Linked DNA regions of Diceros bicornis minor. The protein of the gene in region 1 purifies or fractionates together with the protein of each later gene. This does not show direct contact. Links are inferred from orthologs where the notes say so. Each region holds a gene or a part of one and is shown on either strand. Other genes may lie near its edges.

Region 1 (7,226 bases):
CTGTGGCAAGTGGTAAACGCTGAACACTTAGATAGTGCATAGGTTAATGAGAAAATGATTCATTAAAATTAAATATTCCACTTTAAACCTCCTCACCTTCTCCCTTTTCTTCATCTGCTGTTTTCTTTGCATCCTTTCATCACTCATTCAATAAATGCTCATCGAATGTCAGGCACTGTTCTGACATTGAGTATACAGACGTGAACAAGTCCCTACCTGCATTCCAACGAGGGAAGAAAGAAAATGACCACGTCCAGTAACAAACAAAGGAGAGGATGAGAGGATGACCAGAAGGATGAAATTAAATAGGGGTGCAGGATAGAGGGTGCATTGGTAGGTGGGCGCAGAGATATGAGGGAAGTGGTTTTAGATACAGTGGTCAGGGGAAACCCTTCTTAGGAGGCAACACTGAAATCAAGCCTGAATGATGAGCGAGTCCATCATACCAAGATCTGGGGGAGAGTATCTTAGGCAGAGGAAACACTGAGGCAGGAACCGGCATAGCATTTGGAAGGATAACAAAAAGGCCAAGGGGATGTGCTGCACAGGTAACGAGGAGGAAAGGGTAGGACATGAATCAGAAAGGCAGGCAGGTGCCACGGCACAGAGACCTTGTAGGTCACGGTCAGGACTGTGGATGTTACTCCAATTGCAATAGGAAGCTATTGGAGGGATCTAAACAGAGGGCTGATGTGACTGGGTTTATGTTTTAAACGATGACTGATGTTTGTAAAGAACAGAGTATGCGGGGCTGGGTGTGGAAAGGGGAGCAGAGCATGAGTAGAAGGAGGGAGACCATGTAGAGGCTGCTGCAGAGGTTGGGTGAGCAACAGTGGTGGCTGGAAGCAGGGTCTGGAAGTGCCAGGAGTCCGAGCAAAGGCAACGCCTTCACATTCCTGCCTAGTGTGGTGGACTGAGTCAGGCTTTAGAGCCACACAGACCTGGGCTAAATCCTCTCTGGACCTTTGATTAGTGACCTGAAAACGTGATTCACAGGTTGTTGCAAGGAGTAAATCAGATGAAAAGCATCCAGCAGAGTCCCCCACACCATTGGCTTCAATAAATGGTGCTCCTGGTCTATAATTTCGAAATCCAAAAAGCACTATAAACTGAGGTTTATTTTGTTTATAGTGGGTTTGTAGTCCCCTGTCTAGACCTGAACTGACAGGAGCTATTTAGAGTCTTTATGATACTTTGTTGTCTATCTATACACTTCCCTGCAGAAATGTGTTTTATTATAGAGTGTTGCCCCCAAATCCTGCTGAGAATATCATATAATAGATAGGATTTATGCTGCCCTGCCTTTCTAAAATCCAAAAATCTCTCAATACAGGAACATACCTGACCCAAGAGTTTCAGATAAGGCTCCGTAGACCACCATTATTTTCAGGAACCAAAGTGTCATTCAGTTTAGTCACAACAATGAGACCATACACCAAATTGGAGGGGGTCACAGATCTCAGAACAGCAGTTATGGAAGAGTCCTTAGCAATTATTTAACCTGAAGACCTATCGAATGCTCTAAATCCTCAGCACTTTTAACTCTAAGTAACTGCTGATCATCAGAATGACAAGCCAGTCTGACTCTAAGTGAAATATATGTGTAAACTAATAAGGTGCTGAATTGGTATGTTTGAAAAAGTACTTACAAGTTTGGAAGAAAAGAAACAGTAGGTTTCTTTTCAACTATTTTAAATAAATCTTGTTTTAATTCTGTGTTACCATGTTCCTAAAAGAAATCACCATAATCACAAACAAGTGTTATATGTCCATCTTACTCATGCCCAGAAGCCACTTTGGCTGGGAGTCTTGATCCCTTCTGCCAGACTGCAGCCCCCTGGGGCTCAGCCCCTCCAGGGCCTACACAATGCTTGGCATACAACACACATTCCACCGGTACCTGATTAGTGAGATGAATAAACTACAGGTCGAGTGTTATGGATCTTCAGGTTCAAATAAGCAAACTGAAGAACAAGAGTATAACCTGCCCAAGATTCTAGGTTCCTGAGTGACAGCAGGGAGTGCACCTTTAGCTTCCACCTGGCAAGGTATCTTTATACTAAAGAAATCACAGGCAATAGGAAGTCTCACTAATCCAGAATTCAAAAGACAATTTATGAATTGCCATTCATTAAATAAATATTTAATGAGCATCTGTGATGTACTAGGTGCCGGGATTATACCAGCGAACAAAACCCTGCTCTTGTGAATTTACGAGTGGAGGAACACGGACAAGCCTATAAAAAATGCTACAGGGTGCTAAGTACCATGCTGAAAACCAAAGCAGAGCAACGGGGACAGCGAGGGAAGGGTGGGGTTTCTTTTATATGCAGGTGGTTCAGGGAAGGCTGCTCTGATAAAGCGACACTGGAAGAAGCGCAGGTTAGAGCGGGGGACTGGCTCCTGCAGGCATCCGGGGGAAGAGCTTTCCGGGAAGAAGAAACAGACAGTGCGAAGGCGCAGCGGCAGGAGTGTGCTTGGCTGTACCCCAAGAACAGCAATGAGGCCTGTGTGGTCAGAGTGGAGGGAGCAAGGAGCCTTGCCTGTGGGCCGATAACCGTTTATAGGATTCTGACGAGATGGCAAGCTATTGGGGAGGTGTGAGCCGGGGAGTGTCCTGTTCTGCTTTACAGGAACGCTCCGGCCGCTGCGGTGTTGGGGGGCCGGGTTACAGAAACGGGCGGGGGCTAAGGCCGGGAATGGCGAGACAAGTGCTACTGTTCAGGCCAGAGATTTTTGGCTAGGGATTATTTAGGCAATTTGGGGGTAATTCAGGCCTCCATATTTTCCATCTGTCTGTCAAGTTAGAGGGCGTATCTGTTTTCCACCAGCCCCCCCGCCCCCAACCCGGGCCTGGGCTATTCGTCACTTACTCGGATAAAAATGCTTCGCGGGACGATAACGGCTCTCGGTTCCCACTGCCCCGCACGATCCGGTGCCCAGATCCGGGACGGGCCCTGCACCTCGGCTGCGGGCCTCGGAGCGCGCTGCGGGTGGGGGTCGGGGGCCTCTCACCGGCGCGCAGGACGCGTCTGGGGATGCGGACGGCGCGCGCTCGGCCCCCGGCGCTGCCCGCTCACCCGCGCCGCTGCCGCCCGCTCAGCCGCTGCCGCCCGCTCACCCGCGCCGCTGCCGCCCGCTCACCCGCGCCGCTGCTGTCCGCGGAAGCCCGGCCGGAGCGGCGCCGCTCGCTCTCGGTTTCGTTTTCCCGGCGGACTCCGCCTCCCGCTGCGGCCGCCCGCCCCTCCCGCACAGGCCCGCACTGGCCCCGGGCCGCGGGGCGGGCTCGGCGCCCACGTGCCCGGGACCCGGCGGCCCCCACCCCGGCGTCTGGGGTTGTAACTGGCCCCTGTGCCGGCAAGGGTGAGGAGGACACCCCAGGCGCTCGCTCGCTGAACTGGGCTCTGGGATCAACGATCCCCTTTCCTCTTCAACGCAAACCTTTGAGGTGGGATTGGGGATGTGGATATGATCGGCTCCATTTTACAGTAGCAGAAACTGAGTCAATTATCTCACCCAGGGTCCTGACTCTGGAAAGTGGCAAAGCCAGGATTCCATTGAAGGGCCCTGCACATCAAAGCACCCCTCCCTGTCGTCACATTGACAAGGCTGGGGATGAAGAGGCCAGAGGGCATAATCTTTCTTCAATCTGTATCCACCCATCCATCCAGTTACTTGCCAGCCGCTGTACCAAGTACCGCCCAGGCCAGCAGTTACGCAAGCCACCTGCTCCCTGCGGCACCTCATGGAGTTTACGACCAAAGACTTTACCAGTAGTCCTCGGTTTTTAAGAAATCCTACTCACCTAATGGACTATGACACACTCCCACAGTAATACTGGCTCACTGACACAGCGATTGAGGAGTCTGAGGACTTAGCTCACAACAATACTGCAAGGTAGGTGCTGTTACTATGCCCATTTAACAGATGAGAAAATTGAGGCCTGAGGCTCAGAGAAGTTAACTAACACAGCTAGTAAGCGGCAGAGCTAGATTTAGAACCAGGAGTCAGCACCCTCAACATCTTAGCTGAGGTGAGGGAGAGAGGTGGTCCCGGGATGGACCTCAACTATACATTAACTGTTGGGCACTAGCTCTGGGCATCCTTTCCTACTTCTCTGCTATATTCTCTGCTATTGCAGAGTATCAATGGCTAAAAACTATATTTCCCTTGAAGCACTCAGGTCCTGGGGCATGATTTAAGCTCCCAAAATGTGAAGCACTGGTGGGAGGTTTGGAAGGCAGGCAGGAGGCAGAGCCATCTTTAATCGTGTGTAACCTATTCATTCACTCCCTATCTATGTCCCCCAAGAAGATCCAGAGGACCCTCCTGCACCACTCGTTGAGAAATACATTGGAGTGGGGAACATCAGCGTCCTTGGGCAGCCACTGTAGGTGGGGAATGTCTATGGGAGATGCTGCCATTGAAAAAAGCTCCCTGATTTCAGTGGTGATTATGGCAATATCTAAGATCCCCATGGCACTCCCTCCTGCTCTATCAGCCCGCATCTGTGAACTCATGTGGAGTTGCCTGTGGCCAGATGATTGAGAAAGAAAAATCTGAATGAAGCACAATACACTGGCATTAATCAGAAGTGGATTGATGTATTACTATAGCCCCTCTGGGAGGTGGCCCTAAAAGATAGTGGGAGAAAGGCAATCCTCCCAGTGGGCAAAACTTTGAGCAGTACATTTAGTTGTCACTTGGAAGGAGAGAAAGCCAGTGGCTTGGACAGAACCAGTGGCTAGCAATTTAGCTGGATATTCAGAGATTTGGAAGGAACAAGATCAGAGGGTTGGTGACACGGAGGTCTGGGGAAAATGATGTGGGTGAAACTGCTTCTGGATGTTGCAGGTTCATCATGCCATCAAGCCATCAAGAAAATAAGGGGGTTGGGCCAGCCCTGTGGCTTAGTGGTTAAGTGCACGTGCTCCGCTGCTGGCGGCCCAGGTTCGGATCCCGGGCGCGCACCGACACACTGCTTCTCCGGCCATGCTGAGGCCGTGTCCCACATGCAGCAACTAGAAGGATGTGCAACTATGACATACAACTAGCTACTGGGGCTTTGAGGGGGGGGAAATAAATAAATAAATAAATAATTAAAAAAAAAAAAGGAAAATAAGGGGGTTACCAAACTGGCTGGGCTGACTGATACGAATTACCAAGAGAAAATAGTGATGCAGCCACAGTGCTGTCAGGGACGAGTATGTCTTCAAACCAGGGGTTTCTCTGAGGTTCTTTTTAGTAATTCCATGTTCAATGATAAATGTTAGTGGAAATCTACAGCTGTCCAACACAGGCCAGACTGTTAAGGGCTCAGATGCTTCAGGATTGAAGGTTTGTGTCACTCTACCAGCTGGGCAGGTGTGTGAGGGCAAAGGGAACAATAAATAAGGAAGTTATAACTGACTATGGTCTCATGACCAGTTGAAGAATAAAGGACCATAGAACCTACACATTTTTTCTTCCTGCTTTGTTTTTATATGTATTAATGAACTTCTTTTGATTGTTTTTCCCTTTCCTTTTACATGAGATTTGTTGATGGTGGTTCATTTTATAAGATAGTCTTTAGGTAAGAGTGTTTGAAGGTGGGATTGTGACTAAAATAGAAGAGGAAGGGACATCATGTAGAAATGAGTATCGAGATTTAGGGGATAGGATAAGCATGTTTTCATTTGAAGGAGGGAACAGCTTCATTAGGTGGGAGAATAGTTTTGTCATTTGCTTGAAAGATTATTGGTAAAAGGGGTGGACTATATTAGATACTGTTAATTTTTATTTAGTTTCCATTCTCACTCCCTTCTGTGTCTCCTCATCTCCTGGGTTATAATGTGTGGAAGGTTAAAACCACATTTTCCAGATTTCTAGGGAGTTAAAATTCGAGATATAATTTGAATTCTGCCAATGACTGATGAGCAGTGGTGCAAGATTTGGAAGACAGAAAGGAAGAGAAGGCCATCTTTCTGTGACAGAACGGGCTGACAGGCAAGCTCTCAGGCCCAGGGGTGTTTGCAGGAGCAGGACTCCAGCTACCCTTCTCAGTTCTCCAAGGGTATGGGGCATCTGTGGTGGCAGCAGTGATGGCAGCAGTGGCAGTGGCAGGGTCTTGAACTTTGGATGGCAGCTACACTGGAAGTCTCCTGATTTCCATTCTGCCATCCCTTCTAACAATTATGTGTTCATTTCCTACTAAATCTTTCTGCTTGACATACTTACAGTGGTTTCTGTTTCTAGTACTGAACAAGGAGAAACCGCCCTGAAAATGGAGCCTACGCTGAGGGAATAAAGTTGAGAAGTGAAGATTAAGAATCAGATCCTTGCTTGAGCTCTGGATCAAGCCTCACCTGAAGCCAGACTCATCCTAGACTGGTCAGTGATAAGAGCCCTCTACCTCTTTTCCTTTCTACTATAAACCAATTTGTGTTTGATTTTCTGTTTGCTGCATCAAAAGCATCCTAACTGATCTGATATTCTAAAAAAACCTTCTTGGAAAAAAAATCTCATTAATTTATTCAATAAATATTTATTGAGTGCCTACTATGTGCAGCACTGTGCTAGAAACACAATGATGTACTTTGTTTAGAGTTTTTATCATGAAAGATGTTGAATTTTGTCAAATGCCTTTTCTGCATCTGTTGAGATTATCATATGATTTTTATCCTTCATTTTGTTAATGTGGTGTATCACATTTATTGATTCACATATGTTCTACCATCCTTGCATCCCTGGAATGAATCCCACTTGACCCTGGTGTATGATCCTTTTAATGTATTGTTGAATTTGGTTTGCTAATATTTTGTTAAGGATTTTTGCATGTATGTTCAACAGAGATATTGACTATAATTTTCTTTTCTTGTAGTACCCTTGTCTGGCTTTGGTATCAGGGTAATGCTGGCTTCATTAAATGAGGTTGGAAGTGTTTCCTCCTCTTCAATTTTTGGGAAGATTTTGAGAAGGATTGGTATTAATTCTTTACATGTTTGGTAGAATTCATCAGTGAAACCACCTGATCATGGACTTTTCATTGCTGGGAGGTTTTTGATTACTGATTCAATCTCTTTATTAGTAATTGGTCTGTTCAGATTTCCTGTTTCTTCATTATTCAGTCTTGGTAGGTGGTATGTTTCTAGGAATTTATCCATTTCTCCTAGGTTATCTAATTTGTTGGCATATAATTGTTCATAGTAGTTTCTAACAATCCTTAGTATTTCTATGTTATCAGTTGT
Region 2 (8,059 bases), on another chromosome or scaffold:
AGATGCATCTTGTAGTCCCTGGAGCACCACTAAGAAAATAACTTAAAAAAAGTAAAAAAAAAAAAGTCAACAGAGGAACTAAAATGGTACACTAAAAAATACTTAACACAAAAGAAGCCAATAAAGGAGGATGAGAAGAACAAAACAGAAAGGAGATAAATAGCAAAATGGAAAATGCAAATTAGCCATGTCAATAATTAAAGTGTGAATAGTATAAAGAGCCACTCAAAAGACAGAGACTGTCAGGGGATAAAAAACTAAGGTGCATACAATGGAATACACACTACACACTACATTATACTAATACACACTTCAACTTGGCTGAACTTCAAAAACATGCTGAGTCAGAGAAGTCAAATGCAAAAGACTACATGCTGAATGATTCTGTTTATATGAAAATGTCCAGGAAAAGTAAATTTATAGAGACAGAAAACAGATCAGTGGTTGCCTAGGGCAGAAGGTAGGAGTGGGGATTTAATGTAAAGGAGTATAAAAGGAACTAACTAAAGTGATGGAAATATTCTTTTTCTTGCGTGTGTGAGGAAGATCAGCCCTGAACTAACACCCATGCTAATCCTCCTCTTTTTGCTGAAGAAGACTGGCCCTGGGCTAACATCTACGCCTATCTTCCTCCACTTTATAAGGGACGCCGCCACCGCATGCCCTGACAAGTGGCGCCTCAGTGCGCGCCTGAGATCCAAACCCGGGCTGCCAGCAGCAGAGCGCGCGTACTTAACTGCTACTCCACGGGGCTGGCCCCCATGATGGAAATATTCTAAAACTGGATTGTGGCTACACAACTCTGCACTTTTACTAAAAATCACTGAATTGTACAGTTACCATGGGTGAATTTTATGGTACGTAAATTTTAACTCAATGAAAGTGCTTAGAGGAAAAAAAAAAAACCAAGATGAGGGGGCCCGCCTGGTGGCGCAAGCGGTTAAGTGCGGCGGCCCAGGGTTCACCGGTTCGGATCCCGGGCGCACACCGACGCACCGCTTGTCAGGCCATGCTGTGGTGGCGTCCCATATAAAGTGGAGGAAGATGGGCACGGATGTTAGCCCAGGGCCAGTCTTCCTCAACAAAAAGAGGAGGATTGGCAGATGTTAGCTCTGGGCTGATCTTCCTCACACACACACACAAAAAAAAACAAGATGAGTAGAACTTGGGTGTTAGAGGTATCTACCTAAACCTCATATAAACATTGGAGAAGTGAGGAGGGTAGGGAAATGAACTGGGTGGCAAGTGACACTGTACATTCATACACACATAAACAATTCACTCTTCAGAGCATAGCTGCTGTATTCCCTACTTCAAGGTCCAGAGCATGCTTTCCCTGTCCCCTAAGAACAAAAGTCACTTCCTCTTTGTGCACCCCCAACTCTTAGACATTCCTCTTCACCGCATCCACTACATTATACTGAAACTGTTTTAGTGCCTGCTTGCTGGACTAGACTACATGCCCCTCCAGGGCAAGGACAGTATCTTCCTCATCTCCATGGCTCTGATGCCCAGCCAGTCCTGGGAAGAGAGCAGGCATCAGTGAACGTTAAATTAATGAAAGGAAAATTGTGAGAGCAGGAGGGAACTTTGTACCAAACAAGTTTGAAAGTATGAGGGACACAGGGCCCCACATTAATTTAGGAGTCAGATTAGACTAGTTTTTAAACTGGAGAAGTTTACCTATACCATGGTATAGGTCTGTGTACCACCCAAAATTTAAACATATCTTCCTTGGATGTGGTTAAAGATTCAATATTATCCCAGGGCAATGAATTCACAAGCAACATATTAAACTTTTCAAGATTAGTCTGTTCAGCAAGGAAATAAACCTTAGAGAAATCTGATTTCCCTGCAGATTACCTGACAGGATTAGCACAGAAGCCCAGACAGTTTGTGTACTTCTGGGTTGGAGTTAAACAGCTAGCTCTGCTAAGGACTGTGAAGGGGGTCACACAACCAAGTCGGGCCAGCTCTTTCCATCCTCCTCTTTCGATCTCCATCTTAGCCAGGGCCAGGTCAAATGCGGACCAAGTTGGGAAGCTTCAGCCCAGAAGTGTCCCACCACCCCCGCCCCGCCCCAGGGTAGCCTTGTGTATCCTGTTCTCCACAACTTTGGGTCAAGGGTGGGATACAAAGAAGCTGGAGCCCAAGTACCCTGGCCAGTTTCTCAGGTTCCTGACCCCCATCTCAGAAAAGGGATCCAGCTAATAGAGACCAGACACCTAGAAACAGGGATGAACCAGGGCTCAGTCACCTAGGCCAGGAGGAACATGGGAGTAAGGAGAAGGCTTTCCAGAGCCTTCGGATGTGTGGGGCATAAGAGAAGGGAGGCAAGAGGCAGTAGCGGTGGGGAGGACCTGGAGACTGGGACGATGGCGAGTCCGGGAAAGTCTGGCGGGGAAGGCACTGTGGGTCTCCGAGAAGGCGTGGACAAGGATGACAGTCCTCGCGTTTAGGAAGAGCTGCTCTCCGGGGGGTGAGGAAGGCGGCCCGAGCGTGAGAAGGCCCTGGACCCACTGCGCGAGGAGGCCTGAATCTTGGGGTCCCGCGGCCCCGATTTTCAGGGGAGCTGGCCACGGTGCCCAGGCCCTGACAGGCTGCACGAGTCAGGGAGTCCCGGGGCGCGTCACGCAAAGGGGCGGGCCGGGCGCCAGGAGGTGTGACCCCGAGGCCCGGCGGCTGGCCCGCGTTCCCGCCCCGCGCCTCCCCCACTCCGGGCGAAACGGGCAGGCAGACGAGGGGGCTTCCTGCCTCTGAGGCCCCCGGACTCACCTTCCTCTCTCCCCACTGGTTGAGCCCCGGACACTGCTTCCCACAGGCGACGCGCCCTCTCACGGTCGAAGCGCAGCCCGTCCGGTTCCCGGCCCTCCCGCTCCTCCGAGCTGTTGTATAGCCGGGCCCCTCCGCTGTCCGCAGCCTCCGCAGTGCCCAACGCGGGATACTCCATCTTCCCCGCAAGCCCTAACCGGCCGATGGCCACTCTTGAGTCTGGGTCTCGCGAGATGTGAGTGGGAGAGGGACTTAGCGTGGCCAACAAATCTCGCGAGGTTTGGGCTTCTCAGACCGCGTTGCGGCGTCGGGCTGGGAGCTTGTTTTCACTCGCTGCTGTGGGGACCTCCGAGCGTGTGTTGTGGTTTTGCAAGTCAGTCGGTGGTTCCACAGCCGACCCTTCCTTTCGGGACCGGCTCGTGCGTTCTTTGGCACAGAGTTCTCACAGTCAGCCGTTGACACTTCTCATTTTGTCCTCATGAAGGCCCTGTTATGTGGGAATATTTTCTCCATTTCACTGGTAGGGAAACTGAGGCCCAGAACCTAGAAATGGTTTACTCAAGAGTTTGCTACTAGTAAGTGGTAGAGCAGAGACTCCATCTCTATGATTCTGTTACTGCTAATCATAAATAACATTTGAGTTCCAGGTGCTAATCCCCAGCCCAGACCTGCCCCTCAACTTCTCTCCAACGTAGCTACTTCTCCCCCAGCCACTGTCTCTTGCCAAGATTATTGTAGTAGAGTCCTCGCTGGTCCCTTCCCTTGCCCATCAGGTATTCTCAGCACAGCAGCCCCAGCAATCCTATTGTGACAAGCCGTATCATGCATGACGCCCCGGTGCTCAGATTCTCCCACCTTACTGTCTCACTGTTCTACAAGCCGAAGTCCTTAGTTTAGCCAACAGGGTCCTACACAATCTGACTTCCCTTAACCTCCCTGACCTCATCTCCTATTGTGTTAGCCTCCAACCCCTTCATTCCTGTCCTAGTTACCCTGACCTCCTGGAATGCATTTCCTCCATATAGTATTCTCATGGCTCGGTCTCTCATTTCCTTCTCTGGCTACCCTATCTAAAATTTTACCCCTCCACACACACTTCATGTTCTCCTTTCCTACTTTATTTTTTTTCCTCCTTAACACTTATCATTGTCAGACATATATTTTACTTTTTATCTTGCTTATTGTTTGTCTCCCCACTAGAAGGCAAGTCCCAAGAAAGCAGGGATTTTTGTCTATTTTGTTCTCAGGTGAATCCCCAGGACCTTGAAGTAGAGCCTGGACCCTCATAGGTACATACAAAATATGTAATATATAAAATGAGGCTTTTAATATAATTATTTTATTTCAATATCATTAATTCAAGTGTTTATTGAGAGTTTACTATGAGCTAGATGTCGTTTGGGCATTGGAATACAGTGATGAATAAGACCAACAGGGAAGCCCTAGTAGAGTGGAGGAGAGTGTAAGAAACAAGCCAATAGATAGTAGTAAGTACTAAGGAGAAAATAAAACAGGAATACATATTGTATGAATGATTTGCAAGGAACAGTAGGGTGGTCAGAGAAAGCCTCTGAAGAAAAGACATATGACCTAAGCCCCGATTGATGAGAAGGGGATGTCCATGCAAAGAGCTGGGGAAGAATGTTCCAGGCAGAGGAAACAGCAGGTGCAAAAACCCTGAGGCAGAAGTGAGCTTGCTGTGTTGGAGGAACAGGAAAAAGAACAGTATGGCTGAAACCCAGTAAACATGGGAGAAAATGGTATCAGAGAAGGCCAAAGAGAGATGGAGACAGAGATTTTTCTTGCCTGAGATCACAGGGCTCATCAGTGGGATTTACTAGCTTATACCACAAATATTGAGGACCAGCTCTGTGTCAGGCCTTATGCCAGGCTCTGGAGCTTCCAATGCAATAGATGACTAATGTTTATGTAGTGCTTTACAGTTTATGAAGCACCTTTAACAGACATTGTAACATTTATTTCTCAAGGTAGTTCTCCTATGAGGGATTCTTTCATATTTAACAATAAAGAAACAGACAGAGGTCCGGCCAGGTGGCAAAGTGGTAGGGTTCGTGCGCTCCACTTCGGCAGCCCGGGATTTGCAGGTTCGGATCCCGGGTGCGGACCTATGCACTGCTTATCAAGCTATGCTGTGGCAGGTGTCCCACATATAGTAGAGGAAGATGGGCACGGATGTTAGCCCAGAGCCAATCCTCCTCAGCAAAAAGAGGAGGATTGGCAACAGATGTTAGCTCAGGGGTAATCTTCCTCACCAAAAAAAAAAAAAAAAAAAAGAAACAGAGACAGGTAAAGGTATTATCAGGGTTGTATAGGTGATTAGTGACAGAGCCCATGCTTGACCACTGGTCCTCAGACTGCAAATCCATGTCTTTTTGCAAACACCAGATGACCATCCTAAAAGCCAATGACTATACCTATTTATCTCAAAGAAGATTTCTAGTTACCCATATTTGCATAGCATGAATTATTCAGCAAGAAATCCGAAGGGATAGAGGGCATTTTTGTTAAAATCCGAGAATTCACAAGGATATTTTTTAACACAATGGAGCAAATCCTGGGAGTGGAGTATGTACTTAAAATACTGTACATGTTACTGGAAAACAGTCTCTCCCCCCACTCTCAATCCAATTAGATGCTCAAAATAATTTCCATTTATTCTCCAGTGAATACAGTCATGGTTTGTCCCCTGTGCCACTGAGGCAGAGTCCTGAGCCACAGCACTGAGTGTCTGAACAGCCCTTATTGTCACTAGTTTTCTGCTTTTGTCTTCATGTAAGTGCTTCCAGTAATGGCCCAGGCCTGGACTCCTTGCTGAGACCTGACAGTACAGGTGATGCCTTGTATTTGTGGGGCTGGCTTTTTATTTCTTCCCTGTGGAAAATGAGAACCACTTCCCAACATACTCTACTGTGTATTGTTGCTATGGGAGAAGCACAATCTCAGGGAAATGACTTTGCCAAGGAGCAGGAATTGGCCACAGTTCAACAGACATTTCAGTTGAATAAACGCTGACTCCGTGTGTGTGTGTGTGCGTGCCCTCAAAAGCATGCTACAGAGCTTAGTAAAATACAGTTCCTGCTCTCAGGGAGATTAAACTCTAGAGATGAAAGTATCTACTGTATACGTAATATCAGAGAGTATGTTACCCACTATAATAGAAGTGACAACTGTTTTGATTATACCCAGGATTTAATTTATAGAGGTGACTGAGTGATAACACCGGAGTTCAATGTCATTGAAATTTTCATTATGCACAGTTCCCAAAAGAAAGGGTCACGCCACGCCATGCAGGGCCATATGGAGAAGTAACAGTGTTGGTCAGAAGGCAGAAGGAGTGAGGGGAGAGCATGGCCCAGAGCCTTTATTGTGGTTTCTGCAGGAAGTGATGGGTGAGGTAAGGTAAGCAGTTTAGGATTGGCTAGTTTGGATAATTTCAGTGGGGCTCCAGGCTATAGGGTAGTCCCCAGCTGTCTGGTACCTGGCCCTCGGGTGATGATGTAAGGCAGAGGGAATATTGGCTTGGTGTGTTAGAGTTAGATAAAGGAGGTGGTTGGGGGCTACTGGTTTTGGATTGGTTGGTTTGCATATGAAAGGTATGCTTGAAGGTAAGTTGTTTGCTATCTCTAGGAATTAGCTAACCCTGAGAGGGGCATTTCCATCCCAGTCTATAAGGCCCCAAGATGTCAAAGCATCATAAAATACAGAAAATAAAAAACATGATTAATACAACAACTAAGGCTAGTGTGGATGGGGTGGGACAACGAAGCCACAGCTGTGGGAATCGTGATGGTGTCTGGGTTACTCCATATGAGGCTTTTTACTTCTCAGCTCCACGAACACATCTCTGGCTGTTAGAAGTGGCCATATACTAGGTTTTACTAACAGGACGTGAACAAGTGATGCTCGACTCAGAACCTGAGATTGATCCAAAACAGCAGGGGTGTTCCTGAGGAAAACCGTGGAAAAGCCACACTCTGAGAGAGCACATCTTTGCTGCAATCCTTCTCAGGCTAGTTCATTTTATAGTGTCTTCAGGGCTGTAGGGAAGCAGTGTTTTCAGGGGGTGCCAGGTTTTAATTCAGCAACTTTCCCAGGACAGATGAATTTGCTGATCATAGATTGGGATGTCCAGAGGATTTTGAGAAAGAGGGGAAGGAGGAAGATTAGACTAGATTCAAGTAGAGCTTCCCAACTTTTCCTATATCACAGTCTACTTAGAAAATGACCATGTCTGGCAAATTAGAGAAAACAGATAAGGCTGCTGCTTCTCATCACGCTAGTGGCAGCCCAGGGACTGTGAGTCCAGACCTTGCTGGGCCACCCCTGGGGCCAGATGGGTGGATGTTCAGAACCATATGAGGTGTGATGGATGGCCATGATGTCTTAGATGCTAATGATGTCTGAGGCAGGCAGGATGGGGATTAACCACAATAATCTCTGAGAGATAAACAGGCCATCAGTTAAAGCTTGAGGTACTCAGCTTGACGTCAGCTGCTCCAGTCTGCACTCATTACCTATGTGACCTTAGGTAAATTATTTAACATTTGTGAGTCTACTTCTTCATCTGTAAAATGAGAAAATGATACTCACCTCAAATGGTAGTTGTGAAGATGAACTGAAATAATCTCCATACACTACTTAGCATATTGCCTGGCACATAGTAAATTGTGGTTGTTACCAGTTTATTCTGAAATCTATATTTTTCTGATAATTTAATAAATTGATGTTAGATTCTAGTCTCCATCTTAGTAGAGACTGTATCAGCTAAATCCCACTTTTCTCCATAATTTCTAGAACCAGTTTCAATTAATAATCTGTGCATTTGATTATAGATCAGAGTGATTTAGTTTAGTTTAATGTATCCAAGGAAATCTAGAATGGACTCAGATGATCCAACGAAGCTTTGTCATCTCTACCGAAGGATTGCCAAGAAACAGTATAGATCTTGAAATGGCATAGTAGTTTGAGTCACATCAAATCAACAGGCTTTATTTAGGGCCTACTACATATGTGCCTGTAGTATTTGGGCTTCCATAACAAAATACCGTTGACTGAGTGGCTTAAACAACTATTTCTCACAGTTCTGGAGGCTGGGAAGTCCAAGATCAAGGCGTCGGCAAATGTGATGTCTGGTGAAGGCCTGCTTCCTGGTTCATAGACAGCCTTCTTCTCCCTCTTTCCTCACGTGGTGAAGGAGATCTCTGGGGTCTCTTTCATAAGGGCACTGATCTCATTCTTGACGGCTGTACCCTCGGGACCTGTTCAC

What was found.
Region 2: the proteins of EIF2AK2 (region 1) and ZNF346 purify together in Homo sapiens (affinity purification with mass spectrometry; 3 studies listed by BioGRID and IntAct, with this or other methods). This does not show direct contact. The link is inferred for Diceros bicornis minor from reciprocal best matches to the Homo sapiens genes EIF2AK2 and ZNF346.

Annotation. Positions count from the first base shown.
Region 1 is NC_080751.1:46,995,232-47,002,457, reverse strand, and holds the start of EIF2AK2 (interferon-induced, double-stranded RNA-activated protein kinase), read right to left. Parts: upstream 3,070-7,226; 5' UTR 2,874-3,069; intron 1-2,873.
Region 2 is NC_080740.1:90,263,512-90,271,570, reverse strand, and holds the start of ZNF346 (zinc finger protein 346), read right to left. Parts: upstream 3,001-8,059; 5' UTR 2,951-3,000; coding exon 2,776-2,950; intron 1-2,775.